Linked DNA regions of Callithrix jacchus. The protein of the gene in region 4 binds, or shares a complex with, the protein of the main gene of each other region. Links are inferred from orthologs where the notes say so. Each region holds a gene or a part of one and is shown on either strand. Other genes may lie near its edges. The genes, in order: CACNB2, STAC2, STAC3, CACNA1S, CACNB1, CACNB3 and CACNG1.

Region 1 (4,165 bases), on a different chromosome or scaffold from region 4:
AGATTTAAAATGTCTATGTTTCTCTTTGAGAAGAACAAGTACTGTATCTCACATAATTTATCATAGCAAAATATAGAAGGCAGTTGAAGTAAATTTTTGTATGTATATTTTTTGTATGTATAGTAAATTTTTGAGTGTTTATTTCAGTATGCCAAACTTCCATTTTGTTGTTACAAAATAACATCAATAGATGCCTGGAAAACTCATTATAGAAATTTCCACGGTAGTAAAGTTTGTTGAAATGAGATGCACTCAATCACATAAAAATGTGCCTCCTTGGGACTATACGAACAGAATGTTGTAAGTGAAACACCCTCACTGTAGTCAATACCCTGTTATCAAGAGTTCCGGATCTTAAGGAAGTGCTTGTTTTATCAAAAATGTGACGCTAAGATCTCTCATCCCTATAAAAAACTTCAATCCTGCCCGGCTGCGGTGACGCATGCCTGTAATCCCAGAAATTTTGGAGGCTGAGACCAGTGGATTACTTGAGGTCAGGAGTTCAAAACCAGCCCAGGAAGCATGGTGAAACCTCGACTCTATTAAAAATACAAAAATTAGCCAGGCGTGGTGAAGGGAACTTGTAATCCCAGCTATTCGGGAGGCTGAGGCACGAGAATGGCTTGAACCCTGGAGGCAGAGGTTGCAGTGAGCGGAGATAGCGCCATTGCACTCCAACCTGGGCGACAGAGCGAGACTTTCTGTCTAAAACAACAACAATGACGAACTTCAATTCTGTTCGGGAAGAAATGCTAACTTAATTTGGCAAAGATGAAAACAGAAGTCAAAAGGAAAACATTCGGCCTCAGGTTGGGTGGATTCCGACCTCGTTAGAGAGGCCAGCTGCAGATTCAGGTGGAATCACCTGATGATCTTCACTGAATTAACTCCGTTTCTTTTTCTGGATCCTTATTACTAACATCAGCAATGCTTTTCAGCTGCGCAGGAGATGTTCTTTGCAGACATTTGTTCTCTGGGGCTGCCAGCAGCTTTTCCAGATTTAAAACTTTCAGTGTAGGAACCCAGCCTTCGCCATCCCTCCACTCCGAAGTTAAGAAATCTTCTCTTAGGGTTCCTGAGAGGTAGGTGTGCGGCCCTGGGAAAAGGAACGAGCCCCCCCGACCCCCCGCTCCCCCAGGCGCCGGGCCTGGCTGCTTGTGGCTTCGCAAACTTTTCAGCGCCTGTGCCACGGCGACGCGCAGCAGCTGAGCCGGAGCCCACGCGGCGCGCGCCTCTCGTGAGGAACTTTTCGGCTTGTCTGCCGCTCGTCACTCTCGCTTTCCGACGCGCCTCCCACTGGCTCGCGCTCCCGGAGCTCCCTCCCTCCTGGCGAGGACCTTCCCTGGCGCCCGCGGCTCGATCCCCGCCGCTCTGCGCCCGCTCCGCCCGGTCCCGGTTGCCCCGCGGAGGGCGTCCCTCTTCCCGGTACCGCAGCCGCGCGCCCGCGACCCCGCGTCCTGGCTCCCGCGCGGCTCGCTTCGCCCGATGCCCAGTCCTCGTCCCGCGCACTGAGCGCCTGGCAGCGCGGCACGGAGTCCCGGGGCGCTGCGCTGAGAGCGTGAGCGTCAGGCCTGAGCCCTGGGCGGCCCCCAGAGCCGAACGGAGCGCGGAGAGGCGGGGGCGAGGAGGAGGGGACCCGCCGCCAGGGGCTGGCTGCTTCGCTCGGAGCCGACTTTTCGCCAATGGTCCAAAGCGACATGTCCAAGTCGCCTCCCACAGCGGCGGCGGCGGTGGCGCAGGAGATCCAGATGGAACTGCTGGAGAACGCGGCTCCCGCGGGGGCGCTCGGAGCCGCCGCACAGGTAGCGAGAGCGCGGCGCCTTCTCCTTCCTTTGTGAGCCGCCGGGCAGGGCGCCGACCTCCGGCTCTCCCGGCGACTCTGCTCCGGGGATCTCTAGCCTCGCACCTCCCCGCTGCCTGGGTCTCGTCCGCCACCTCCTCCCCTCGCCGCTTGCCCACCCTCTGCTCTTCTCCTGACGCCGGGGACCCTGCCCCTTTGCGCCTTTTCCTGGCTCTACCTCGGCTTCCATTTTTCTCTGCTTCGGAAAAGCCAGTGGGGAAGGGCGGGGGAGACCTGCTGGTCCTCGCAGACTTCTCCCGGGCTGCCCCCGCCGGCCCTCCTCGCCCCTTCCCGGGAGAGGCACATGGAGAGACATGAACCAGGCGAGTGGACTGGACCTGCTGAAGATCGTGAGTCCGGGTGGGCGGGAGGGGTCCGCTTCCCGCAGCGCTTTCTACGATGCTGACCCTCCTGGCCACGCTCCGAGCCGGGGTGGGCGTGGGTGTGGGGGTGACGGGCTGGAGGTGGGCGACATGGGAGCGAATGTGGGGGCGCCCTACCGGATCCCCCCCTCGAGCTGCCGGACCACGCTAAGCACCTGGGGCTTTACGCCGCTACCGTGACAGCTTCTCCAGTCCCCTCGGGCACTTGCCAAGGTTTGCTTGGCCCACCTCGTGCCTTTCCCTTAATAAGAGAGCAATATGGGGACGGGAAAGTTTTTATTTTTCCGTCTCCCCTGAAATGTTAGCCATTTCAGGGAGCTCCAGGATCCCCTTTCTCTCCAACGAGTATTCGCGGTTTCTGGAAAAAGTCAGCTTCGCTGCTGCAGGTTGTTGTGAAATTGGAGATGTCAGTTGTAGGCGCTGGGCAGTGACAAGGTGGCTTTTACCTAAGGCTTGGGCAGGTACAGTTTGTATTACAGACACCTCCATGTCCCAGCGGTGAGGAGTCGCTCAACTTTTCTCCTATCAGGGAAATGGCTTCAGACTCCTAACTGCCGGCTGACTGTTGGCTGGCTGGCCAGTGGTGGGAAGGGGTCTTGGTTATATTTCAGGCAGCATTTTGGAGAAATGTCTCTTTGTTTAGCGGTATTGGCTGGTTGATTTCAAGGCTACATTTGCCCGATTTTAACTTGTGATAAGATATGTATGTGTGTGTGTGTGCAGTTACATGTTAATACATAGATACACTTACATATACACATACACACCGAAGAGGGCATGTTTGAGTATCATATACTGTAGCAAATGGGGACAGGAGCGTGACAACCTGATAAGGGGGCAAATGTTTTCTTGCTGTTGTTTTGATAGGTGGAAATTGACTGCTGTAGCTATTTTGATATTGTAATCATGGCCGTTCCAAGTGGCATTAATAGTCTAGCTTTACTGAACTTTCTTTTACCATTGGGAAATAATTGTGCTAACTTAAAACACATAATCCACTTTGATTTGAGATGGAGAAGAATGTGGAAACCAAGGACTTGTGTAATCAGAAATCGATTAATTTTGTCGTGGTGAAACAGCTAGATTTTAGTCTGCCCTGGGCTGTTGGCTTCGCAAGCCAAGTGGGGACATGTAATGAACCAGCTACATTCCCATCTGGCCTCTGCCAGAGGATCTGAATTTTAACCAACAGAGTTTGCATTTGTTCTGGACTCCTGATTTTTATCTAGACGCTTGCCAGGTTAGATAGAATGAAAAAAATGTACCCAGAGACCTCCGTTATTCTAGGATGAAGGTCTTGAATGCGATCAGTATTTGAGTCCTCCAACAAAGGAAAGGACATTTAGACCCTCATTTGCCTTTGATCTTCCTTGAGGGATATTTTAGAAAAGATTTTATTCTTGTGATAAAAATAGAGTTCCTAAATTCCTGGAGATCAAAGTCAGGGCTCACATAACTGCATTCAGCTAAGATAATCTAAATTACTTTATGATTTATGTATAATGATTTAATGTAAGTCAACAAATTATTGTACAGCAGCAATGTGGAAATGATTCTGATGGGAAGAGACACAATGTCTGCCTTCAGAGAACTTATATTCCAGTAACATCAATTAGCATAAATGTTTAGGGGCTGTAAGAGAAGTTCTGACTGTAATCCCAGAACTTTGGGAGGCTGAGGCAGGCAGATCATGAGGTTAGGAGATCGAGACCAGCCTGACCAACATGGTGAAAACCTGTCTCTATTAAAAACACAGAAATTAGCCAGGCATGGTGGTGCACACCTGTAATCCCAGCTACTCAGGAGACTGAGGCAGGAGAATCGTTTGAACCTGGGAGGCAGAGGTTGCAGTGAGCTGAGATGGTACCGCTGAACTCCAGCCAGAGCAATATTCCATCTCAAAACAAGAAAAAGAAGAAAAGAAAATAGAAAAGAGAAGTTC
Region 2 (4,215 bases), on a different chromosome or scaffold from region 4:
TGTGGTAAGAAGGGATGGAGACCAAGAGAGGAGGAGGACTCCCTAGGAGGGTTGCTGAGTGGCTCAGATGCAGGGCTGATCCTGCCTGGGGGCAAGCAGGAGGCAGCCAGTGATTCCCAGGGGGCACCAACACTGATAAATAAGCCTGGAATGTTGGCGTCACTACCTGATGTGCACTGGCCCCCTCTGTTGTACCTGCCTCACACTGAGCTGGGTGGGCAGCACCCAAACACACTCTCTTCCATCTCCCCCACCTACACAGTCTGGAGACAGGAGATTCTTTGAGCCAGGGTGAAGTGTGGGATGGAAGGAGGCTAGCAGGGGTCCTGGATTCTCTCTCTGCCACCTCTGCCCTGCTGAATACCCCCAACCCAACCCACAGCCTAGTCTGTGTTAGTGCAGAGTCCTTCAAAAGAGTGAAGTGTAGGAGAGGGCCGGAGGGCCAGGGCTTCAGCTGACCTAGCACAGAGGGCTAGGCCTCACCCTGGCTCAAAGAAGCTCCTGTCTCCAGACTGTGTGGGTGGGGAGATGGAAGAGAGTGTGGTTGGGTGCTGCCCACCCAGCTCAGTGTGAGGCAGGTACAACAGAGGGGGCCAGTGCTCATCAGTGATGCTGGCTCATGTATGTAATCTCTGCCCTCCCCACCCCTTGAATCTCCAAGCTCAGACCCAGAGGTGACAACACTGGAGGGTCCCTGGGCTGGGAGGAGGGAGAGGCACAGACCTGCAGGCCCTCACCTTCCCCAACACACAGCTGAGCAGGCAGCCTGCTGGAGTGCTGAGGCAGCACCACCCCGCGCTCCTGCCCGCCTTCCAGAGCTCCCAGGGAGGGGGCTGGAGTGAACAGGCCTTTGTATGGAAAGCCGGGCAGAGCCTGGGAGGCCCCAAGCCCCTGGAGGCAAGCAGGGGGACTGTGTATGTCTACCCAGGGTGACTAGAGGGCAACCGGGGTCAGCGGCATTGGAGCTTAGGGGAGGTTCAGCTCCCAGACCGTCTGCTTGACAGAAGTTGTCACAAATATTCTAAGCAATAGAATATCCCTGGGGTACCTCTGCCAGACTCCACCCTGATCCTATGTCCTCCTCCTCCGTAGGAACAGGGTAAACACGATCCTCCTCAGGGTCACTCCCTTGATGACCTTGACCTTGAATTAACCTCAACTCCTATGGGGTGGTCAAGATGGAAGGAGGAGGAAGGGGAACAGTAGGAAGAAGCCTAGGGAGCCAGCGATTCCTCCGGAACCCAGGCCCACCATTTCTGGTCCTCACTGTCCCCCTTCGCCACTGGAAAACAGGAACAGGATGGGAACAAAATACCAGGGGAAGAGAGAGGGAGGAGGTCTTGGCCTGAAGTCTGGGAGGGGGCAGGGCGCACCCTTGGCACAGCCCTTTCCGCCCCATCCCCCGGCCCGCTCAGGTTGCTCCCGCAGAACAAAACTTCTCGCGGGCCAGTCGCCAGAACCTAGAACTTGGGAACGGAGCAGACGGATTAGAAGAGGGGGGTGCTGAGTGTGAGCGGCGGTCTCTCCACACCCCGTTCAGGGCCAGGAGTCTGGGCTCCGCCCGCCTTCGCGGGGAGTAATTTATTCATGGTGACTCCCGCAGGAGTAACAATCATCCATAATTAGGGTTAATGATGACATTCATTAATTACGATGACTTCTCTTTTCGCTTCTACCCGCTCCCCCGGCGCCCCACCGCTTGGTCCCGCTCCCGGGGTAGGGGGTGGGGCTGCCTTTCTGGTCTGGAGCCACAACCGCAGGCCCGGGTCCCCGCCCGCTACCGACGGCCCGCGCTGCCGCAGGCCCCCGCGCGGACTCCGCAGCTGCGCACCCCCGGCCGCGGCCTCGCGTCCCCGAGCCCAACCCCGCTGGGAGCGGGGAATGCAGGACTGCGGAGGGGCAGGGAGAGACACCCAGAGACGCGGAGATAAACACCCAGAGACGCGGGGAGAGACGCGGAGAGACGCACACAGAGAGACGCCAAGACACAGACACGCAGGTTGTAGAGACACATTCAGAGACACGAGCGAGGGCAGAGGGGCAGACTGAGCCCGGCACGGGGACCCGGCGGCCGTGGGAGGGTGCGCCTCGCTCGCACAGCCGGGCACGCACCCCGCCCGCGCCGCTCCACACGCGCCCTCCGGCCTCCCTGCGCCCATCCCTCCAACGAAGCCCGGTTGCCGCCTCCCCGGAGGGTAGCGATGGCGCGCGCGGCCGTGCGGTGCTGGTGTGATCTGGGGCTCCTCGTGGCCCCTCGTCGCCAATCCACTCCTCCCCCCGAGCGTGGCGCGGAGCCTCAGTGGTCACGCGGGCCCCGCGACCGCGACCCCAGGACGACCGGGCCCACAGGAGGACCCCGCCGGGAAGAGGGCGCCTGGGCCAGGGACACACGGGGCGGGGACAGGCCTCGCGCCCCCCAAGTTACCTTGGTTTCCTGGAGGGCGGAGACGGTCCCTGGGGGGCTGTGGGTGGCCGCGTCATCCGGTTCGTTCTCCTTCTCGCTCATCTCGGTCATGGTTCGGGAGGAGGGTCGGAGAAGGTGCGGAGACCCGACGGCAGGCCGGCCGCGGGCAGGCTGCGGGTGGCGGGCGTCTCCGGGACTCTGAAGCCCTTCTCCAGAGGCTGCCCCCAGTTGGCCTCCGGCACGGCAGCCCCCCACCCGCGGGCGCGGGCGGAGAAAGTTGCCGGGGTGGCGGGCGAGGGGAGGCGACCACGCCGAGCCGCGGGAGCGGGACCACCCCGGGCGAGAGGACCGAGGGTCTGCAGAGGATGCTGCTCGGAGCGCAGGGAGGAGGAAAGTGGGACCGCGGGGATGAGCCGAGGGAGGGAGCCACGGAGCTGTCCGTGTCCGGCCGGTTCCGCCGTCCTCTGCGCCCGCCCCCCATTCCCTCCCCTCCCCCGCCGGCCCCAGCCCGGCACCCGGTGGCCCCTCCGCCCAGTCCTCGCTGCCCAACTTTGATTTAGGAGGTCGCCTGGTCCCGCCCCCTGCCCTCCGCCGCTCCCCCTCGCCGCCATGCAAATCGGGCTCTCAGCTATTGGCTGCCGCTGTGGCCAGGAGGGCGAGCTAGGCTGAATCTTGGGGGGCTCGACACGATGGGGCGGGGCTTGGCGGTGAAAGAAGCGAAGGAGGGAGTTTCACACTGAAAAACCCGGGATGCGGGGGGCGTGACCAGATTGAGGGAAGCTTGGGGAGATCATAGTAGCGTCTGGATGGGTTGCAGTGAACAGAAATAGGTTGGGGCTGCAGCAAGATAGCTGAGAGTGAGATCGAAGTTAGGACTTCCTGGAGAGCGAAGATCGAAAGATGTCAGAGGTTGGTGAAGGAAGAATGGGGACCCATCTGTGCCATTAAAAAAATTGGATGCCTCTATGCCCTGAAAAGACTCTCTCCAAATATACACACACCTGGACTATGGTGTATGCGTCAAAGTCAGGCCAGACAATTCCTCCTTGTGATGGAAAGCAGGATGATTCTACCCCTTTCCGGGCTTGGTGTCTGAACTTCAGCAGAGATGGGGCCTCAGTCCTCACACCCAAAGTCCCCAAACTTCACTACAACACGCTCCCCTCCTGAAGATCCTACCACAGCTGGAGTTAGATCAGGGGATAATACCGAGAGGTGGGGGAAGAGGTCCTCACCCTCCAAGGTGCCCCTCCCTCCACCTGGTCTGACAATAACCTTCTATTTATTTTTTACTTTTTATTTAGAAACAGGGTCTCACTCTTTCACCCAGGCTGGAGTGGTGTGATCATAACTCACTGCAGTCTCAGGCTCCTGGGCTCAAGCGATCCTCCTACCTCAGCCTCTCTAATTGCTGGGACCACAGTCATACACCACCATGCCTGGCTAATTTTTAAAATTTTTTGGTAGAGATGGAGTCTTGCTATGTTACACAGGATGATCTCCAACTCGTGGGCTCAAGCGATCCTCCCACTTTGGCCTCCCAGCTTGTTGGGATTACAAGCGTGAGCCACTGTGCCCAGTCAAGATATTTCTTCTTCTCCTCCTCCTTCTCTTTTTCCTTTTTTTTTTTTTTTTTGACAGGGTCTTGCTCTATTGCCCAGGCTGTAGTGCAGTGGCCTGATCACAGCTCACTTCAGCCTGGACCTCCTGGGCTCAACTCTCCCAAACAACTGGGACCACAGGCACATGCCACTTCACCCGGCTAATTTTTAAATTTTTTGTAGAGATGGAGTTTATGTTGCCCAGGCTGG
Region 3 (4,136 bases), on a different chromosome or scaffold from region 4:
GCCAGTTAGAATGGCGATCATTAAAAAATCTGGAGACAACAGATGCTGGAGAGGATGTGGAGAAATAGGGACACTTTCACACTGTTGGTGGGAGTGTAAATTAGTTCTACCATTTTGGAAGACAGTGTAGTGATTCCTCAAGGACCTGGAAATAGAAATTCCATTTGACCCAGCAATCCCATTACTGGGTATATATCCAAAGGATTATAAATCATTCTACTATAAGGACACATGCACACGAATGTTCATGGCAGCACTGTTTACAATAGCAAAGACTTGGAACCAACCCAAATGCCCATCGATGGTAGACTGGACAGGGAAAATGTGGCACATATACACCATGGAATACTATGCAGCCATAAACGATGAGTTTGTGTCCTTTGTAGGGACATGGGTGAACCTGGAAACCATCTTTCTCAGCAAACTGACACAAGAACAGAAAATCAAACACTGCACGTTCTCACTCATAGGTGGGTGTTGAACAATGAGAACACATGGACACAGGGAGGGGAGCATCAGACACTGGGGTCTGTCGGGGGGAACTAGGGGAGGGACAGTGGAGAGTTGGGAAGGGATAACATGGGGAGAAACATCAGATATATGTGTTGGGGAGGAAGGCAGCAAAGCATATTGCCATGTATGTACCTATGCAACAATCTTGCATGTTTTTCACATGTACCCCAAAACCTGAAATGCAATAAAATATATTTTTTTTAGAAAAAAGCAATCTAGCTGGGCTTGGTGGCTCACACCTGTAATCCCAGCACTTTGGGATGCTGAGGCGGGTGGATCACCTGAGGTCAGGGGTTCAAGACCAGCCTGGCCAACATGGTAAAACCCTGTCTCTACTAAAAATACAAGAATTAGCCAGGCATGGTGGTGGGCACCTGTAATCTCAGGTACTTGGAAGGCTGAGGCAGGAGAATCACTTGAACCCAGGAGGTGAAGTTTGTAGTGAACCTGCCAGATCACTTCACTGCACTCCCCTGGGCGACAAGAGTGAGACTCCATCTTTAAAAAAAAAAAAAAAAGCAATCTAGTGTGGCTGATAGGAGAGCTCTGAGAGTTCACATTAGTCTTTTTTTTTTTTTAACCCTGTCTCAAAAAATAAATGAAATATAAAAATAAACTCCCCTTAAGTGAGCATGAACAGAAACTGTCCCTTCTTGATTTCAGCTGTTATTAACCTGTTGGCCAAAGATAAAGAATCAAGGAACAGCAGCTCTGGGGGATGGGAGGAGTTAGGGTCCAACCCTGCCCCAGACCTCTCAGTGTCCAATTTCTCTGTGTCAGCTGTGTTGCTCAGCTGTCTACTTTCCTCCAGCCCTGTCATTTCAGCCCTGACACCAACGCAAGAGGCTAGGAGGTCTACAAATAGCGTCTGGGTAGCTGGTGTGAACACAGAGGGTACTGGGGGGGCTTAGCCCCCAAGGAAGAGGACTGGTTTTTCCCCAGCACCACCATCAAGGCCTCGGGGTTCCCAACTTCCTCTACATTCTGTGGACTGACTGATTTAGGGAATCCCAAACGTAAGTTACCTCTTCATCCTCTTTCCATTTCCACAGCTGCTCACCCCAGCTGCCCTGGCCAGTAATCTATTTAACTTCTTCATTTCTCTCCTTGTTGTGAATCATCTGGGTTTTAGGAGTCAAATTATTATTCTACTCTAGGATGAGTTAGGATTGGAGGGTGGGGTAAGGGTGGGGGTGGGGTGAAGGGAATGGAGTAGTAAGGGAAGGAAAGGCTCATATTACCCTGAAAACTTAAAATAGCTGAGCCCTGAAGCAGGCTGGGACAGCACTAGGCACAGTGCCCCCAGGGCTCAAGAAAGAAGTAGGGGAGGACAAATCTCCAGTCCATCCTTCCTTGTGCACACACAAGGACACCCATTAAACCTCTTGAAGAGAGGAGATCTGGGAAGGTATGCATCACATACCTGTTGCCCACAGGTTCCCAGGAGAAACAAAGTACCTATAAGAAAATAACGTAAATCATTCAGCAGTGAACACTGTGTAAGGGCTGTAAACTCTGGGGTCACCCCTCAGGATGGAAGGATAAGTATCAGTTTGAGGAACTAACTGGGGACTTCCGTTTGTTGGGCTTTTTTGTTTTTCTTTTTTTTTTTTTTTTTTTTTGAGACAGAGTCTTGCTCTAGAACCACGCTGGAGTGCAGTGGCGCAATCCTGGCTCACTGCAACCTTCGCCTCCCAGGTTCAAGCAATTCTCCTTCCTCAACCTCTCAAGTAGCTGGGATTACAGGTGTCTGCCACCATACTCGGCTCATTTTTTAATATTTAGTAGAGATGGGGTTTCACCATGTTGGCCAGGCTGGTCTCAAACTCCTGACCCCTAGTGATCCACCCATCTCAGCCTCCCAAAGTGCTGGGATTACAGGTGTGAGCCACCACGCCCAGCCATGTTGGGCTTTTTTCTAGACCTCCATGAAATCTATCTGTTAATAAACACTGCCAAAGGATTTGTATTTGGCCTGGAGCAGTGCCTCATGCCTGGAATCTCAACCCTTTGGGAGGCTGAAATGGAAGAACTGCTTGAGCTAGTTCAGGACCAGCCTAGGCAACAAAGCAAGGCCCTGCTTCTACAAAAAATAAAAAAGTAGCCAGGTAGTATACACTTTGTAGTCCCAGCTACTCAGGAAGCTGAGGTAGGGGGATCGCTTCAGCCTGGGAGATCAAGACTGCAGTGAGCCGTGATCACACCACTGCACTCCAACCTGGGTGACAGAGTGAGACCTCATTGCAAAAAAAAAAAAAAAAAAAATATATATATATATATATATATGAAACCACATTTCTCCAAAAGCCTCCCCTTTGAGGACCACCCTACTGCAAGGGACAGAAATAAGAGAGAGAAGAATGAAAGGGATTAGATTTCATAGTGGGGTCCAACCTCTTGCAGGATGACAGAAAAGGAGGTGCTGGAGTCCCCTAAACCCTCCTTCCCCGCAGAGACTCGGCAAAGTGGGGTGAGTCTGGGCCTCTGACCACTGGGTGTGGGGAGCGGGAAGCCATTATAGCTGAAGAGTGCTTAAATTGATCACATTTGTGTATGACTCATTTTTTGCTGGCCACCTGCAGCCCCCCTAATCCTAGGGTACATTCCTTACCCCTAACTAGAAAACTGTCTAGTTTGCTCTAGTGCCCCTGTACTCTAGAGAGGGTGACAAGTCCTTTTAACACTGGGTTTCCTTCACTCCCTCCCTCAGCTACAGCGGCTGAAGCAATTACTCAGGAAGGGGTCTACAGGGACAAAAGACATGGAACTTCCCCCAGAGCCCCAGGCCAATGGGGAGGCAGTGGGAGCTGGGGGTGGGCCCATCTACTACATCTATGAGGAAGAGGAGGAGGAAGAAGAGGAGGAGGAGGAGCCACCCCCAGAACCTCCTAAGCTTGTCAACGATAAGCCCCACAAATTCAAAGATCACTTCTTCAAGAAGCCAAAGTTCTGTGATGTCTGTGCCCGGATGATTGTTCGTGAGTCATGAAGGGAAGTGAAGAGAGTATGATGTTGAAGGCAGGGGTTGGGGGAGAGGGTATAGGAGAGGAGTATTTGTAGCAGACGGGCTGCGGCTAGAGTTGCTGTAAGGCAGTGCTATTAGAGATTGTGAGAGTAGGGTCCTAGACAGAAAAGGGAACCTAAGTGTAGCAGCAGTGGTACAAAGGGAAAGGGCAACCTGGAACCTTATCTGAATTTTCTCCCCCTCTCCCAAGTCAATAACAAGTTTGGGCTTCGCTGTAAGAACTGCAAAACCAACATCCATGAACACTGTCAGTCCTATGTGGAAATGCAGAGATGCTTTGGCAAGATCGTGAGTAGGCTCCGGGGAACAAGGTGTAGAAAGGTGGGGCCGTATCACCAGCTACCCCTTGCTGGTCCCTCCTCCATCCCATTCATTTCTCTTTTTCTTTCTTAGCCCATCTCTTTTTCTGAGAAAGGATGACCACTTATGAGAGAGATGGGCTTCTAGCCTACCTTGCTACCTCTAATGATTCCTCCTATTCCACCCTACAGCCACCTGGTTTCCGTCGGGCCTATAGTTCCCCACTCTACAGCAATCAGCAGTATGCTTGTGTCAAAGATCTCTGTAAGTGCCCTTTATGGAACATGAGGGAATGGGC
Region 4 (4,238 bases):
GTGCCCCTTTCTCACTCCCGAAACCAGTCCAGAGTACTTGCTGGGAGGGTATGTGGGGTACGCTGTTAGCTCAAAGATTCAATGAACTTTTTTTTTTTTTTTGCCTCAGGTTTTGCTGTCTCCCAGGCTGGAGTGCAGTGGTGTGATCCTTCCTCACTGCAACCTTCACCTCCTGGGTTCAAGCGATTCTCCGGCCTCACCCTCCAGGGTAGCTGGGATTATAGGCACACACCACCATGCCCACTAAATTTTGTATTTTTAGAGAGTCCAGGTTTCACCATGGTGGCCATGCTGGTCTCATACTCCTGACCTCAAGTGGTCTGCCCACCTTTGCTTCCCAAAGTGCTGGAATTACAGACATGAGCCACCTCACCTGGCCTCAATAAACTTTTTGTCTCACTCTGTCACCCACGCCGGAGTGCAGTGGCCCAATCTTGGCTCACTGGAGCCTCAACCTCCTCAGCTCAACTGATCATCCCACCTTGGCCTCCCTAGTAGCTGGGACTACAAACACACACCACTGCACCCTGCTAATTTCTGTAATTTTTGTAGAGACAGAGTTTCATCACGTTGCCCTGGGTGGTCTCGAACTTCTGAGCTCAAGCTATCTGCCCAACTTGGCCTCCCAAAGTGTTGAGATTACAAGGGTGAGGCACCATGCCTGGCCTCAGTGAACACAGGGAGGGCAGTATATGTGGGGACTCTCCAGAGGAGGGGCCAGAGTCCCAGAGTTGAAGTACACAAGCTTTACACCTGTAGGGGTGGGAGGAAGTGGGGAAGAAAGACACACAGCAGATGCTCCACAGTGAGGCAGGTGCTATGTCAGAGGTGTGCACACTCCGGGCTGTCCTGGGAGCCTTCCAGCCCACTGGGGAGGCGTTTACTGGTTCCCTGACATGGGATTGCTTGGGGAGTCTTGGCTGACGGTGCAGATACTGAGATGGGTGTGTGGGGGGCGGAGGCTGTGCTGTGGAGCTGTCCTGACTTAGGCTGCCCAGCGCCTTCTCCAGACAATGTCATGGGGCTGAGGAGGGAGAAACCTAATTTTGGCATGAGGGGGTCACTCTGCAGTTGGAGGTTCCATAGTGAAGTCTACCCCTTCCTTACCTCTGTGGCCCCAGGCTTGAAACCTTCCATCCTGTCTCCCTCTCCCACTGCCCCGCCCCCCTCCCAGGCCTGTGTGTAGATTCTTCTCCCCACCCCCCACCCCCGCCCTCCTCAGGGGACAGATTGGGAAGTCACTGACTGGGCTGGATGGAATGACAGCTGCCTGGCCTCCGGAGCTCAGGCCCAGCAGCAGGGAGCCAGGGAGCCGAGTGGAAGCTAATTTTACATGCTGGGAGCAAGGAGAGTAATCCTTCTACCCCCATTCCTGCCCCCGCCCCCCACCCCCCGCTGGCTCAGCAGGGCAGGCTCAGCCGACAGCCTCAGCCAGCCCAGTCCCCAAGGCGGGGGCATTGGGGACGCAGGGAAGAGAAGGCACTGGGGTGGGGGAGCAGGAGAAAGCCAGGTTACCGGGGAGCCATGGAGCCGTCCTCACCCCAGGATGAAGGCCTGAGAAAGAAACAGCCCAAGAAGCCAGCTCCTGAGATTCTGCCAAGGCCACCCCGGGCCTTGTTCTGCCTAACCCTGCAGAACCCCCTGAGGAAGGCCTGCATCGACATCGTGGAGTGGAAGTATCCTTCAGGGTCTGGGCGGCGGGGGAGTGTGTGTCATGGGGGAAGGATGTGGGGTAGTCACAGAGCACAAACTTTCTACAGCAAGGCCAGGGAGACCCAGAACTTAGATATGGGGTGAACCCACAGAATGGAAGCCTGGGAAGGAGTCCTCGGCTTAGCAGGAGAGGAGGAGGAAGAGGAGAAGGAGGAGGAGGAAAAGGAGGAGGAAGAAAAGGAGGAAGAGGATGAGGAGGAAGAGGAGAAGAAAGAGGAGGACTTGGTGGGAGCATTTGGTGGGTCTTCCTGGGCCTTAGTGGGCCTCCCAAGTCCTGTGTGACAACCAGAGACACCTACTGACCACCTATGGGTGGGGCCTGTTTCATGGGGACTGTTCTCAGGTGTGCCCAAATCCACATTACCATGAGGTGCCACTAGGTTTTTGAAGCACCAGCCTCATTTTGGAATAGCATAGGGACCCAAAAAAGACACGATGACCTCTTTGAGATAACTCCCTTGATTGGGTTGGGAGGGAGGTGACAGTAGAGAGGTGAGTGGAAGGAAGGCTTCCTCTGGGGGCGCGTCCCAGCTGAGGACAGAGCCAAGGGGAGAAGGGCCTGCAAGACGCCCGCCCGGAGTGGCTCCAGATGCAGGCCAAGCAAGCATGGCTGTTCTAGCTCAGACAGGCCACCCTGGGGACAGGGACTTTGAATCCCATGCTGTGTTTTCCTCTGCTCTGGGAGGAGAAATGATGAAAATATCTGGGTTATTTGGGGAAGGGAGGAAGGAGTGGCCGAGAGAGGGAGAGGCCTGTTTCCAGTGGGATCTGAGAGCAAGGGTCGGGCATATCTGAAATATTTCCGAGGAGCTCTGGAAGTCTGGGTGCCCACCAGCTGTTCCTAGAAGGAGAGAGAATGAGGGATAACCGGAAGGACAAGGGAAACATGGGGCAAGTGGAGATAGTTTGGGGTTAGGGTCAGCCCCGCTCCCCTCACCTGCTCTCAGCCAGGTCGGTGGATTGCCCGCATCAAACCCTGGGTGCTCCTTCCCTGCCTCTCTTCTGCAATCGGGTTTACCCTGTGGCTTCTCCCTCTCCTCCACCCTCTGCTCCTCTGAGCCTTGCCCTCTCATAGCCCCCTGTGGCCCTCCTCTTTTCTCAAACATTGGAGGTTACTGGGAAGAGAATGGGGTGTTTCTGTCAAGCTCATCTACATAATATGCCTCCCCATTCGCGCCCTGACAACCCCTTTGCTTCCTCCCTTGCTTCATCTAGTTCTTTTCACACTTGTCATCTGATGGGTCAGAAAGTTAAGAAAGCCCTGGGGTGCCCTCTGGAAATGGCCGTGGCAGGGTAGGTGTGTCTGGGAGGGGTGAGGTGTGACGGGTTTGAGCACGTGCACACCAGCAGGGGCACGTGGCTCCGGAAATTCAGCTTTCACCTCCCCATCCTTCGTTCCCAGTCCTGCTGGGTGAGTTCTCAACCTTACCCTACATCAACCCTTACCCTCCCGTGCCATTTCTCTGGGTGAGCCCCTGCAGATTGGCCAGAATCTGAGAAAGTCATAGCTCCTTGGGAGCAGAAGGGCGTGGGCAGGCACTGAGAGTGGAGCGGTGTGAAGACCCCCTAGGCCTTCAAGCTGAGGAGCCCTCAGCCAGGTACCAGACCTTTGCCATTCCAAAGCATCTACGTGGAAGTGACTTGCTCCTGAGGAAAGGGAGCCAGATGTCCAGGCGGGAACCTGGTCCTCGCTGTACCCTGCCAGGAGCTGAGGGAAGGAGCAGTGTGGACGAGTGTCCAAGAAAGAGCCTGTCCACCAGCCTGGTATCAGTCACAGTCCAGGCCCTCAGCTCCCTCTTCCCCTTAACCCTGTAAGTCCCGTGCCTCACTCAAGAGCTCTCCTTAACCCTGGCTCCAGGCCCTTCGAGACGATCATCTTGCTCACCATCTTTGCCAACTGTGTGGCCCTGGCCGTGTACCTGCCCATGCCCGAAGATGACAACAACTCTCTGAACCTCGGCCTGGTAAGACTGGCGCTTCCATCCCGCTTCCTGCGGGCCTGCAGTCCCAGGCTCGGGGAGGCCCCCTTGGTGGACTCTGTTCCGGTTGATGGTGCTGGTGGTTGACCTCCCTGAGGAAGCAGGCCCGAGTCCCCAGCCTCCTGCAGGGCTGGCTGAGTGGCTCAACAGATTTCAAGGATCAATCTGCTTATTCCTGATTCTGAGATATTGCCAGCCAGCACTGAGCACGCACTAACTGGTCCCAGTCACTGTGCTAACACCTTATGAGAGCAAACTCATTCAATCCTCACACCCACCTCATAAAGTGGCTCCATTTGGCAGATGTAGAAACTGAGGCTTTGTAAGGTCAGCTAGTGAGCCACAGAGGTTGAATGCTAATTTCCCTTGTCCAGATGTAATTCAGAAGAAACTTGCATCCATTGAATTTGCCTTCATGGGAGAGTTTTATCCAGGAATCTAAAGCGAAACATGTTTTAGAGTTTTGTAATACCACTTACTCTTTACCCCTTCATCAGCAACGCATGCCTGGAACCGTAAAATGCCAGGGCTGGAAGGAACTTTCAA
Region 5 (3,500 bases), on a different chromosome or scaffold from region 4:
ATAAGCAAAACTTATTAAAAAATAAAACAAATTTAAAAAATGGAGGGTGGGCGGGCCTATAAACACGGTTAGAGAAGTTGGGAAGGAGAATCACTTCCCTTCATATAGCCCCTAAGGAAGGTGGGCATGAGACAAGGAGAGAGCCTGAGCATTGCATAGGGTAGACACAGGGCTGCTGAGGTCACTTCTGCAGGGGTGCCCAGGGCTGAGAGTTATGGAGCATTCAAGGGCCCTAACACTCGCTCTCCATGCTAATGCAACCAGGACCCGCCTCTCTGACTGGGTGCATTGCCTGAGTCTCTCTAGCTCCTCTTCCTTTTGTCCCTCTGCAAACCAGGTACTTCAGAGGCTCATCAAGTCTCGAGGGAAGTCTCAGTCCAAACACCTCAACGTCCAAATAGCGGCCTCGGAAAAGCTGGCACAGTGCCCCCCCGTGAGTGCCTAGATCCCGGGGAAGGGAAGGGAGGGAGGGTACTTGGGTTGTCCTGGTTTTCTCTGGCCTGTACGAGAGACAGAGTGACCAGGAACACCTGGGTCAGGCCTGTAGGTGCAGACTGGTCTTCCGGAAGGAGTGCAGGTCTGTCAGTCAAGGACTGGGTTCAAGCCCCAGAAGCACCCTTCTCCGTGGAGAGTCAAGCCCTCTTTCCCAGCCTTGGTTGCCTTATCTCTAGAATGAGGGAGTTGGACAGAGTGCCAAAACGGCTTGCAGTTCTGCTAATCTGTACATCTGAGAGCCCTCCTTCCCTTCTTCCACATCCAGAGGCCTCTTTTTAACCTTGTCCTTCAATCCCTTGACTCTACCCACTGCACCCAGGCCACACCCTCAACCCCCTTGGCCATGCCCCACTCATCCCAGCCCCGTCCCCTAACCCCGCCTCCACAGGAAATGTTTGACATCATCCTGGACGAGAACCAGTTGGAGGATGCCTGCGAGCACCTGGCAGAATACTTGGAAGCCTATTGGAAGGCCACACACCCGCCCAGCAGCACACCACCCAACCCGCTGCTGAACCGCACCATGGCTACCGCAGCCCTGGCTGCCAGCCCTGCCCCTGTCTCCAACCTCCAGGTACAGGTGCTCACCTCGCTCAGGAGAAACCTCAGCTTCTGGGGCGGGCTGGAGTCCTCGCAGCGGGGCAGCGCGGTGCCCCAGGAGCAGGAACACGCCATGTAGTGGGTGCCCTGCCCATCTTCCCTCCCGCTCAGAGGTCAGAACTGGAGTGCAGGGAACATGGAGGAGGAAGGGAAGAGCTTTATTTTGTAAAAAATGTGGTGAGCGGCAGCTTCTGGTGTCTGTGGTTTTTGATGGGTCTGGGGCTTCTGGTGCTGGCTTCCTGGGCCTGGTACCATAGGACCGCATCTGCTGCCCGCTGGATCTGAGTCCTGATGGGGGCCCTTTTAAGGCAAGGGAGTAGGAAGGATGTGTGAGGAGATAGGTACACTCATTTTCTGGACTCCACACCCTATTTAGACCCAACAGAGCAGGGGCCCTTGGAGCCAGGAGGGCTGGCTCTCCCTGTTAAACCTGGACTCTCCCTCCCTGGAACCCTGACTCCTCAAGGCCCCTCAAGAGGGACCCGGAATGTGGGATCTTCTATGACTTGATGCTGAACCTTCCACCATTCTCCCAGTTAAAGAGTCCAGGAAAGGCCCTCCCATGGGAGCCCAGCCTGCCTCGCCCTCCTCCCGAGCAAGCCACAGCCTGTCTCTTGATTCCACACCATTAAGTATAAGGTTCTAGGTGAGAGCCAGAAGAAACCCATGAAATCATTCTAGACTGAAGCTTTCAAATTCGTTTTCAGCAACACAGCCCATTAGTTCAATGAATCTTATGTGGAAGCTGAGGATGTAGATAATGCATCCTTGCTCTGCCCTATGAGGAAGCCAGGGGAATGGCCTCCCCTCCACCTCCATGGGGACCCCTGAAGCACTTCTGTGCCCTCCCCACCCCACCCCAGATCTCCAGGCAACAGTTTGGAAACTGCTGCTCAGGTCTAAGCCCCATCAAACTACAACCAAGAAATGAGGCCACAGAGAGGGGAACCGTTTGCTCAGGATCACACAGCTTGAAGTGGCAGGGGAGGGACTGGAACCTCTCTTGTGCCCCACTGCCACATGACATTTGGTGATGAGGACACTGGGCTACCTCTTCATCTTCAGTAGGAGGGGAAGACCCAGCAGCCTTCCCCAGCTTGCTGCTTTGAGTCCTTCTTGGGGCCAGGGGAGGAATCCCATCAGCCTTGGAGACGGTGTCATCTGACTAGGGAATGGTGGGAGAAGCATGGGGTTCTGGAAGCCTGAGATTGGGGTCGTGAGTTGAAGCCAGGGTCAGCAGGTTTGAGCTGAAATCTCCTGTTAATATATTTGGAAAACTGAAGGCAATGACTAACCCAATCAGCCACTAATGAGTGGCTGTACTTAGCTGTTAATGATGATTAACCCCAAGATAGCATTAATGACTCGCACTGAGGAAGTGGTGACTCATGGCTCACGGCTGTCGGCCATGCTTGCCCTGAGCATTCCTATGTCCTCACATCTGTTGAAGGTCAGGTGTCCCCTGTCCGGAGAGAGGAGCCAATGGCCTGAGGTCTGTCCTCTGGCTGGGCTCCAGAGCCATTTGTCCCTGGGGCCCCTACCCTAGAGCCAGTACCCTCCTTCACCCAGGCCGGCTGTCTTCGTGCTGTCACTAATCTGCCTTGCTTTGTTGTGTTCTTCTCACCTCTGCCTGATCTGCATGGTGTGTGATGTCCGTCTGCTAACCAGGGACCCTACCTTGCTTCCGGGGACCAGCGGCTGGAACGGGCCACCGGGGAGCACGGCAGCGTGCACGAGTACCCAGGGGAGCTGGGCCAGCCCCCAGGCCTTTACCCCAGCAGCCACCCACCCGGCCGGGCGGGCACGCTGCGGGCACTGTCCCGCCAAGACACTTTTGATGCCGACACCCCCGGCAGCCGAAACTCTGCCTGCACGGAGCTGGGAGACTCATGTGTGGACATGGAAACTGACCCCTCAGAGGGGCCAGGGCTCGGAGACCCTGCAGGAGGCGGCACCCCCCCAGCCCGACAGGGATCCTGGGAGGACGAGGAAGAAGACTATGAGGAAGAGCTGACCGACAACCGGAACCGGGGCCGGAATAAGGCCCGCTACTGCGCTGAGGGTGGGGGTCCAGTGTTAGGGCGCAACAAGAATGAGCTGGAGGGCTGGGGACGAGGCGTCTACATTCGCTGAGGAGCAGCGGCCACGCGGCGGGAGGAAGGGCTCTGAGTCCGGGGGAGGGGAGGGAGCGAGGGGCTCACACTTGACATGTATCCGCCTCCAGGGGCGCTGTCGCCCTCCTTTCAGATGCCTTTGCTCAAAGCTTGGGGTTTCTCCGGTGTTATCTATCATCCCAGCTCCCGGGTGGCCCTCAAGCCCCAGCTGTCGGTTTTTACCGGCCTGTTGCAGATGGATGGGGGATACCCACTTTTCTGAAGTGTCCCCTTTCTCCCATCTTAAGGGGC
Region 6 (4,023 bases), on a different chromosome or scaffold from region 4:
CTCATGGGGCACAAAGGCAGGCAGTCAAAAATCAAAGAAGTAATTTTGCTCAGGAGATAAAAAAGGAGAGAGCTCAAATGGGTGGGTGTTTGGGGGAAGTTTCCTCAAGATAAGGGCTGTGGCTCTCTTACCTCAAATCTCAGCGCTCTTATGAAGAAGACTGAGTGGTGCAGGGTGGTACAAGACCTCTACTAAGGGGAGAATCTGGCCTTACCCCAGTAACTCCAAGGAGACAGGCCCTTTCCACTTCCAACCCCAGTGTAGCCAGGATCCCACCCACCCTCTGGCTTCTTTCCCCCTCCCTTTAGGCTCACCTAAAACAGCCCCTTTCTGCCCTAGTTCCCACGGATGCCTTGGCACTGTCTGGCACAATCCTTGGCAGGGAAGTGAGGAAGGGAACCCCCATCCTGGCGGGACTAAGACGAAATCTACCCGCGCAACAGGTGTGGGGAGGCCTACTCAGCTCACGGAAAGTTCCCCCCTTCTCAAGGGTTGGGCAACACCGCGTTTGCCGCAGCGTCCCTGTACTAAGGGGGCTGGGCACCTGTTGGGGCAGAAGCTGCCGTCCTGGCATCAGCCTGGGGGCGGCAAGCCCATTCCTCCCACGACCACTGTGGGGTTTGCTTTCGGAGCCTCCGGGACGCACCGGCCCAGACCCGAACTGCTGTCGCCTTGGACCCCTCCCCCGTCTGCCGCTAGTCCCCGCGTCTCTTCTGTCTCCTAGGGTCTTCCCATTTTCCTGTCTTCCCCGTCTTCCCTCTGCCTCTCTCTCTCCCACTTCCTCGACACCTGCGCCCTCTCCAGTCTCCGCCCGGGTCGCGTCTCCCTCGCGGTCTCAGAGCCCCCTCCCTCCCCCGCTGCAGCCCTTTGTTTCCCGGCGGAATAGTTCCTGGGTTGCCGAGAGTCTCTGTCTCCGCATCTCTCCTCGCCCCGCCTCCTCCCTGCCAGGATCCGCCCCGCCCGCAGCCTCTCCTCCCCTTCCTCCCAGTCGCCAAGGCCCCGTAGGTGCTCGGGGACCCACCTTCCACCCAGCGCGGGTCCGCTCCCCTCTCCCGGCCCAGCCCGGGCTCCCTAGTGGCCGCCGCCCCCTCGCCGCCCCCGCCTGTTCCCAGGGAGGGGGTCAGGTGGGCGGGCACTATTGTTGTAGGAGCCGGCGCCAGATTCCTCAGCCGCGCTCGGGGTGGGACCGGCTGGGTTTGGGGCGGTGGGGTGGGGGGAGCGGTGATTTGAGCTCCGAGCAGCTGGTCTTCGCGGCTCGCTCCCTCCTTCGCGCTCTCTTGCTGTCCGCCGCCGCCCGCAGGGCTGCGGGGCTCGGTGGCATCTCCCGGGCGCGGCCCGCAGTCCTCGCCCCTACCTCCGGGCCGCTCCCGCCCCCGGCGCCGCTCGCTCCCCCCACCCGGACTCCCCCATGTATGACGACTCCTACGTGCCCGGGTTTGAGGACTCGGAGGCGGTGAGTGCCCAGGGTGAGGGTGGGGGCGGGGAAGTTGGGGCGACACCTCCTCTCCCTTCAACCCTTCCCCCAGTTAAGGACTTTGAAAAACGCCTCAGTGGCAGGGCAGGGTGTGTAGGGGGACGCTCTAGGTACGTGGGGAGATGGATTTTCATGCCAAGGGCTCCCAGCGACCCAGACCCAGACCCTGGGGCATCGGGTGTGTGCAGAGAGGGGGCAGTGTAGGGGAGGGGCTCGAGCAGGTGGCTCCACGGTCCAGAAAGAGGGGCGGGCGGGGGCGGAGGGGGGCAGGGCTGGAGGCCGAGGGCACCGAGGATCTGGAGAGGGAACACGCCATGTCTGGAGTTCCAAATTCTGGATTTCTGGGGTCTGAACACAAACAGCTAGGAGAGCCGCCGAGGTTGTTGGGGAGGCAGACATTCTGGACCTCCTGTGCCTCAAGTAAAGGACACATCTGGGAGCTGAGAGGACATCGGGGAGCCAGGGACCAGCCTCTTCAGACAGAGGAATCCTAAAACTTGAGGAGCTCCATTATTCCCCTCCACCCACTCCATCTCTGCACATTGCCTCATCTCCTCACCCTTTCTGTAGCCCAGTTTCTCTCCCAGGCTGAAACCTGGGCACCCAGCACATGGGTGGGCCAGGTGACTGAGCCCCATCCATTCCACAGCCCCCTGCTGAGGCTTGCTCTGAGCAGCAGGCATCCTGAGCTCCTGCCCAGCATGGAGGGCCTGGAGGTGAAGCCAGAGGAGCTGAGGGCCTGGGGATGGAGAGGAAGCGCTTTGCTCAGAGAAACAGGCAACCGATAAATATTTAATTCTCCTCTTTGCTTTTATCTCCTGACCCACTGAGACAAATCAGCTCATTAAGCAGTGATTCCCGGAGCTCAGAGAGCAGGGAGAGTGCCTGGAAAGATGGGGCAAGAATGCGGAGCAGCTTCTCAGACCCTTGGAGCTGCCAACTTTCCCTCAAATGTCCTGTAAGAAGGCCTCCTTAGGAGAGAACCACTAGATGGCTTGGAAGGGCCCCTGATAGGTGTGGAGGTTGGGGCACCCCTGGGTGGGAAAGGGGAGTATGTTCAAATCTTCTCCACTTGCTCCCAGGATAGATGACTCTTTTGGGGCCCAGTTTTCCTCGGGGCCTCTGGGACTAATTGCATTGCTGCCAGAGCAGATGATTTTTAAGGCTGTGGTGGACACCTCTTTCTGACAGTTGAAGGGACAGCTGGCATAGCCCAGGGTGCCAAGGTGAGCTTGAGAACAAACCTCTCTATGGGGCTGGAAGGCCCTAGGAGGTTCTTCCCATCCCTGATGAGAAGGCAAGAGCTATTGCAAGGAACAGTCTGACATGTGGTTGGTGCTGGAGGGCAGCCTGCTGACCCATTGCTCCCTCCCATCTCTCTCTGGCTCCTGATCACCCTCCCCCACTTCCCTTTCTCTTGCTTGGCTCCTTGCTCTCCCTGAGGCCCCCTCTGAAGCAGTAGGAGGGAGATCAGGCTCTAAATAAATCCAACGGCTCATCTCCCTCCTCTCCTTCCCCCGTGCCAGGCAAGAGAAGAGCTGCAGCCTGCCCACACACTCACTAGGCAAGGGGGGCACCACCAGGGCACCGTGCCAACTCCTGGCAGCTCCAAAGTACTGAGAATCTGGCTATTTTGGCGTAGCAGGGTATAGGAAAGGTAAGACCCTAGATCATGCTTGGCAGGGCAGCCCTGGCCTCCCCAAGTCATATCAGAGCACAAGAGATGGATGAGCCCAGAGGACTTGGAAGTAATGGAGAAGGGGTTTCATTCTGAGCACAATTCATTAAATATTTAGGGACAGATCCTTTGATCCCCATCCCAGGGTGAGAGGTCAGGTAACCCAGATGCCCCAGGTGTTAAGATTACTAAATTAGGCTAGGTACGGTGGCTCACACCTGTAATCCCAGCACTTTGGGTGGCCAAGGCGGGCAGATCACTTGAAGTCAGGAATTTGAGACCAGCCTGGCCAATATGGAGAAACCCCATATCTACTAAAAATACAAAAATTAGCCAGGCATGGTGGCGCCTGCCTGTAGTCCCAGCTACTCAGGAGGCTGGGGCAGGAGAATCATTTGAACCCAGGAGGCAAAGTTTGCAGTGAGTCAAGATTGCACCATTGCACTCCAGCCTGGGCATCACACTGAGACTCCATCTTAAAAAAAAAAAAAAAAAAAAGATTACTAAATTAAACCAGGCATAGAGGCTCATACCTGTAATCCCAGTGCTTTGGGAGGCTGATGTAGGAAGATGGCTTAAGCCCAGGAGTTTGAGACCAGCCTAGGCAACATAGCAAGATCCTGTCTCTACAGAAAAGTAGTAGGCATGGTAGTGCATGCCTGTAGTCTTAGCAACTCAGGAGACAGGGGAGCGCTTGAGCCTAGGAGTTCAAGGCTGCAGCGAGCCATGATTGTGCACTCCAGCCTGGGCAATAGAGCAAGACCAGTCTCTAAGTAAATAAATAAAATAATAAAAATAAAGGTTTCTAAATTGGGTTGAGAGCCTGGAGCACAGGCAGAAAAGGTCAGACTCCTCTTCAGGCATGGTGCTG
Region 7 (4,173 bases), on a different chromosome or scaffold from region 4:
GTTGTTAATTGAGAAGCCACATATGAACTCACTTCCTCCCTCTAGAGAAGAGTGGTCCCAGGGAACACAAGAAGGGCAGATAGGGAAAGAGAAAGATGTCCATTTGCACAGAAAAGAGAGGGAAAAAGGCAGGAACATACTTTGGAAGATTACTGGGGGAAAGGTAGTGCTCCGTGTCACAAGCGTGGGAGGTATGGTTCATGGCTGGTTAGGCTAAGAAGTCAAAGAGGTAGATCCTGGTCAGGCTCAAGCTCAAGCAATGCCTGTTGGCTCCAGTGACTAGCATTGGTTCCAGTGACTAGCATTGGTTCCAGTGACTGCGATTGGTCCAGTCACCTCTCACCAGCATGCTGCCCCCCTGTGATTGGTCCAGTCATCTCTCACCAGCCTGTTGGCCCCCTATGATTGGTCCACTCACCTCTAACTAGCCTGTTGGTCCCTTGTGATTGGTCCAATCGCCTCTTGCCAGCCTGTTGCCCCCTGTGATTGGTCCACTAACGTCTCCCCAGCCTGTCACCCCCTGTGATTGGTCCAGTCACCTCTCACCAGCCTGTCTCTTCCTTGTGTGGACTCTGTTCACTGCCCAGCCCTCTTCTCTGACTTTAAAAGTCAGATGGTTCCAGAGATGGGTGAACAGGACTGTAACAGCACGTCCCCATGTGTGGTCCCTGTAGAAGCTACCTCGCCCTGCCCTGCCCTGCCCCACCCAGGGGAGTAGGCTGGAGGCTGTGCCTGTTTATGGGTGTGCTTCGCAGTGGTCAAGGGACATGGGCATCCCAGCTATGCAATACCCTGCCAGCACATGCTCACACCTGTCACCCTCAAGCACTGGGACTTGGTGTTTCTACAACAGCTGGGTACTTACGAGTCTTCTGGGCACCCAGTTGGGGTAAGCAAGGGAGGGGATCTCTGGAGCAAGCAGGAGGGAAGGAAGAGGGAGCAGAGACATGGGAGGATGGGGTCTGGGCTCTCTGACCCACAAACAGACTGCAAGATCTTTGGGGACTCAGCCTTAGTGTCCTTGAAGGACAGGTTTCAAGGAACATCCAGTCTGATAAAAGACGGAATAATCCTGAAAGCCAGGTGGGACATCACACTGACATCACCCTGCTCCACTGCCACCATGGATGGGTGTCCCTCAGCCTGGGAAGGGATCTTATGTTGTTGAGAGTCAGTCCCATATTTTATAGAGGAAGAAGCTGAGGCTGAGTTGAGCTTTGTCCTCCCTGGAGAGTCATTTGGAGCGTGGTAGGCAATGGTGATGATTCCTGGCCGCCTGGTCTCCATGTAGCCCTCTTTCCTCTAAAGAAGTGCTGTATTTGCTAAGAATCCAGAGGCCTCTGCATTTGCAGAATAGAGGTTAGCCACACAAATACCAGGTACTCCTGAAAAAGAGCTTACCTTCGACATGTGGTTTGGTCACATGGTAGGAAATTGAGGAATATGCTTAAATGACAGGATGAGGAAAATGCTTTGACATGGTCTTTTAAAATGCTGATAGGGTCTGAGCTAAGAGAGGAGGCACAGAGGACTGAAGTCCTGACAAAAGTGGGGGTGGAGGCTGGGCACGGCGGCTCATGCCTAATCCCAGCACTGTGGGAGGCCGAGGTGGGCGGATTGCTTGCAGTCAGGAGTTCAAGACCAGCCTGGCCAACATGGCAAAACCCCGTCTCTACTAAAAATACAAAAGTTAGATGGGTATGGTGGCGCATGCCTGCAATCCCAGCTACTGGGGAAGCTGAGGCAGGAGACTAGCTTGATCCCAGGAGGCAGAAGTTGCAGTGAGCCGAGATTGCACCATCGTACTCCAGCACAGGGAACAGAGTGCAACTCTGTCTCAAGAAAAGGTAGGGGGCAGGCGGCTCACCCACAGCCATGTCCTGCTTCATAGACATTCAACCTGTGCAGCTGCCCTAGGCCCAGGGCCCTCAAGGGTCCATGCTTGGTTTCATGCCTCGCTGTCACTGCCTTGAAATCCTCGGTAATTTGGAGCAGGGAACCCTGCACTTTCATTCAGCACAGGACCCTGCAAATTCACCTGTCCAGTCTACTCTCCTGCCTTAAGTCCAGGAACGAACCTGCCAGCCTGATAGGTTCCACGAGTCTGAGCACACAGAGCCACTCAGCCTGTCTTGGCAGGGAGGGAGTGATCAGGTGGGGCCCAGAAGCCCCCGGGCTGGTAGAGCCACAGTCCCTTTCTTGAGCCTGCTCAGATGTCTGCTCTGGACAAAAAGCCCCAAGGTCCAGCCAGACAGAAATAGCTGGGACAAACGCCCTCGTCTTACAACCCAGCTCCGGCCACCAGCACAGCACATGCGAGTCGGATCTTCTTCCCTGGGCAGAAAGGGCTGGGCGGCTGCCCTGTTCTAGGCAGAGAAACCTGCCTTGCTTCGTGTGGGTAACTTTGTTGGGGAAAGATGGGAAAGGGCAGGAAGTGGGGATTGGGAGGGATGCTGGGTACATTACCCCCGGGCAGGGTGATGGGCCCGCACATCTTGCTGTCGTCCATGGGGATGCGCTTGGTACAGATCCGCCAGAGGCCGAAGTGGGCCGCCTCGCAGGTGGTGTTGTGGTGCTCCAGGTGGGGGCTCAGCACAGCCCAGTGGTCGGTTACCACGGCTGTTGTGGCCAGCACGATGCCCGCCAGGATGCAGAAGAGGGTCACACGGACCTTCAGCGTTTTGGTCTGGGACATGGTGGTCGCCGAGGCGTGGGTGCCCTGGGCAGGGTCCGGCGGCTGTGTCTCCTAGGGCAGGTGACAGCCGAGCTGGGGGGTGGCAGTGGCTGTCAAGCTGGGAGTGGCCACTAAGTTTAGTGTGGCCTGGCTGAGCCAGAGTGGGCTGGGCTTGGGGCTGAGGGACGCTGGACATGCTGAGCAGCTGTCCAGACGAATCAGGGGCCTGAGGGAGGCTGCTATTAATGACCGTCTCCAGGCGTGGCACCGAGGACAGCTTCTGCTCAGGTTTCAGGGGTTTCTTCCTTTGGGAGCCAGAAGTACCCTGGTAGGGGGGCAAGGAGAGAAGGCTCTGGGTGGTGGATTGAGGCCTCTGTGGAGTAGCAGCTCAAGGTGTCTGAGTTGGGAGGGGGTGGGCAGCAGGGGCTGGGGGTGGGGACCTGCCTGCTCTGGGCTGCTGGGAAAGGGCATCCCAGGGCAGGGGAGGAGACCAGAGCTGCAGGCTGCCTGGCTCTCCCGGGCTCCCACAGGGCAAGTCTGTCACCAGCAGGGCAGTGAGTAGGTCCTCATCCTGGGATCTGGGGAGACTAGGACTGTTTAGGGACATCCCAGGGAACCCGTCCAGGGCCTCTGGAGTCCACCTCTTGGGGAGTGTTTTAGCCACAAAATCCATGGCCTCCCCCAAACCGTGGGAAGATTATTGGTGTTTCCCAGGCCTGGCCTTTCCCGACTCTGACCCCTTCATGAGAACATCACTTCCTTCTCAATTCTCTTTCCATACCCGGAACTGGGTCCAGAGCAAAGCTGCATTTGGGGTCAGTGTCTGTACTGCCCACAGAGTGTCCTCCGAAACCAAGAGAGAATGGCCTGAAGAGGACAAGGAATCTCGTTGGACTTGGTCGTTCTGTTTTCAGGGTACTGTGTTTGGTTTTGCCTCTATTAACAGCAGGTGATAATGATTTTTATTTAATTTGAACACACTTATTTAATTTGCAAAATAAGGGTGTGAGTAAAAAAGAACAAATAGGTTGATTTACGGGGGATAATTAGGAGGCTCGTGAGTGCTTAGATATGGCAGAGAACACAGAAAGCCTGGAACTGAGCGCCCTCCCAGGGTCCTGTGTGCCTGGCTGCCCTGCAGGGATCCCCAAGGCTCTGGCCCCTACATCCCTCCAGGTTGTGCCAGGTTGTGCCATCTCTTCTTTCTCAGCTTACCGGGTAGCCCTTTTTGGGTCTAGCCGAGAGGCTGATGCATGACCAGGAATAGCTTCCTAAGCTGGGTGGGGCCTTGAGCTTCAAAATCCTGGCCTCAGATTGACACGGTTTACAGAGACTCTCCCCATGTGGACAGAAACGTTCCAGCCTCCAGCCTTGGAATCACAGAAAGTTCACGATGATGATAATAGTAGCAACGGCTCGTCTTCAGCGAGGGCTTCCTGTCGACTAGGCGCTCTGCTAAGCCTTCCTCCAGCATCACAGTTATTCTCCACACCAATCCA

What was found.
Region 1: CACNA1S (region 4) and CACNB2 share a complex: the UniProt entries of both Homo sapiens proteins name them as parts of the calcium channel complex. The link is inferred for Callithrix jacchus from reciprocal best matches to the Homo sapiens genes CACNA1S and CACNB2.
Region 2: the proteins of CACNA1S (region 4) and STAC2 are in contact, whole or in part, in a crystal structure (PDB 6B27), measured with the Homo sapiens proteins. The link is inferred for Callithrix jacchus from reciprocal best matches to the Homo sapiens genes CACNA1S and STAC2. Residues at the interface, in NP_000060.2 of Homo sapiens: Glu749, Pro750, Glu751, Ile752, Pro753, Ser755, Pro756, Arg757, Pro758; in NP_945344.1 of Homo sapiens: Tyr301, Lys302, Phe303, Gln306, Glu307, Asp310, Asn326, Asp328, Trp329, Phe340, Pro342, Asn344, Phe345.
Region 3: CACNA1S (region 4) and STAC3 share a complex: the UniProt entries of both Homo sapiens proteins name them as parts of the calcium channel complex. The link is inferred for Callithrix jacchus from reciprocal best matches to the Homo sapiens genes CACNA1S and STAC3.
Region 5: CACNA1S (region 4) and CACNB1 share a complex: the UniProt entries of both Homo sapiens proteins name them as parts of the calcium channel complex. The link is inferred for Callithrix jacchus from reciprocal best matches to the Homo sapiens genes CACNA1S and CACNB1.
Region 6: CACNA1S (region 4) and CACNB3 share a complex: the UniProt entries of both Homo sapiens proteins name them as parts of the calcium channel complex. The link is inferred for Callithrix jacchus from reciprocal best matches to the Homo sapiens genes CACNA1S and CACNB3.
Region 7: CACNA1S (region 4) and CACNG1 share a complex: the UniProt entries of both Homo sapiens proteins name them as parts of the calcium channel complex. The link is inferred for Callithrix jacchus from reciprocal best matches to the Homo sapiens genes CACNA1S and CACNG1.

Annotation. Positions count from the first base shown.
Region 1 is NC_133508.1:18,969,322-18,973,486, forward strand, and holds the start of CACNB2 (voltage-dependent L-type calcium channel subunit beta-2), read left to right. Parts: upstream 1-1,365; 5' UTR 1,366-1,682; coding exon 1,683-1,802; exon of another isoform or gene 1,803-2,154; coding exon of another isoform or gene 2,155-2,190; intron 2,191-4,165. UniProt on the Homo sapiens protein: Beta subunit of voltage-dependent calcium channels which contributes to the function of the calcium channel by increasing peak calcium current. Plays a role in shifting voltage dependencies of activation and inactivation of the channel.
Region 2 is NC_133506.1:119,710,515-119,714,729, forward strand, and holds the start of STAC2 (SH3 and cysteine-rich domain-containing protein 2), read right to left. Parts: upstream 2,801-4,215; 5' UTR 2,516-2,800; coding exon 2,426-2,515; intron 1-2,425. UniProt on the Homo sapiens protein: Plays a redundant role in promoting the expression of calcium channel CACNA1S at the cell membrane, and thereby contributes to increased channel activity. Slows down the inactivation rate of the calcium channel CACNA1C.
Region 3 is NC_133510.1:62,453,266-62,457,401, forward strand, and holds the start of STAC3 (SH3 and cysteine-rich domain-containing protein 3), read left to right. Parts: upstream 1-1,336; 5' UTR 1,337-1,529; intron 1,530-2,916; 5' UTR 2,917-2,917; coding exon 2,918-2,983; intron 2,984-3,223; coding exon 3,224-3,491; intron 3,492-3,728; coding exon 3,729-3,826; intron 3,827-4,029; coding exon 4,030-4,102; intron 4,103-4,136. UniProt on the Homo sapiens protein: Required for normal excitation-contraction coupling in skeletal muscle and for normal muscle contraction in response to membrane depolarization. Required for normal Ca(2+) release from the sarcplasmic reticulum, which ultimately leads to muscle contraction.
Region 4 is NC_133520.1:28,132,421-28,136,658, reverse strand, and holds the start of CACNA1S (voltage-dependent L-type calcium channel subunit alpha-1S), read left to right. Parts: upstream 1-1,438; 5' UTR 1,439-1,524; coding exon 1,525-1,676; intron 1,677-3,571; coding exon 3,572-3,677; intron 3,678-4,238. UniProt on the Homo sapiens protein: Pore-forming, alpha-1S subunit of the voltage-gated calcium channel that gives rise to L-type calcium currents in skeletal muscle.
Region 5 is NC_133506.1:119,668,767-119,672,266, reverse strand, and holds part of CACNB1 (voltage-dependent L-type calcium channel subunit beta-1), read left to right. Parts: intron 1-337; coding exon 338-433; intron 434-883; coding exon 884-1,069; coding exon of another isoform or gene 1,070-1,174; exon of another isoform or gene 1,175-1,282; intron 1,283-2,763; coding exon 2,764-3,228; 3' UTR 3,229-3,500. UniProt on the Homo sapiens protein: Regulatory subunit of L-type calcium channels. Regulates the activity of L-type calcium channels that contain CACNA1A as pore-forming subunit.
Region 6 is NC_133510.1:70,749,473-70,753,495, reverse strand, and holds the start of CACNB3 (voltage-dependent L-type calcium channel subunit beta-3), read left to right. Parts: upstream 1-1,223; 5' UTR 1,224-1,408; coding exon of another isoform or gene 1,409-1,412; coding exon 1,413-1,453; intron 1,454-2,314; coding exon 2,315-2,432; intron 2,433-2,556; exon of another isoform or gene 2,557-2,700; intron 2,701-3,000; exon of another isoform or gene 3,001-3,131; intron 3,132-4,023. UniProt on the Homo sapiens protein: Regulatory subunit of the voltage-gated calcium channel that gives rise to L-type calcium currents. Increases CACNA1B peak calcium current and shifts the voltage dependencies of channel activation and inactivation.
Region 7 is NC_133506.1:122,263,121-122,267,293, forward strand, and holds the start of CACNG1 (voltage-dependent calcium channel gamma-1 subunit), read right to left. Parts: upstream 2,801-4,173; 5' UTR 2,696-2,800; coding exon 2,467-2,695; intron 1-2,466. UniProt on the Homo sapiens protein: Regulatory subunit of the voltage-gated calcium channel that gives rise to L-type calcium currents in skeletal muscle. Regulates channel inactivation kinetics.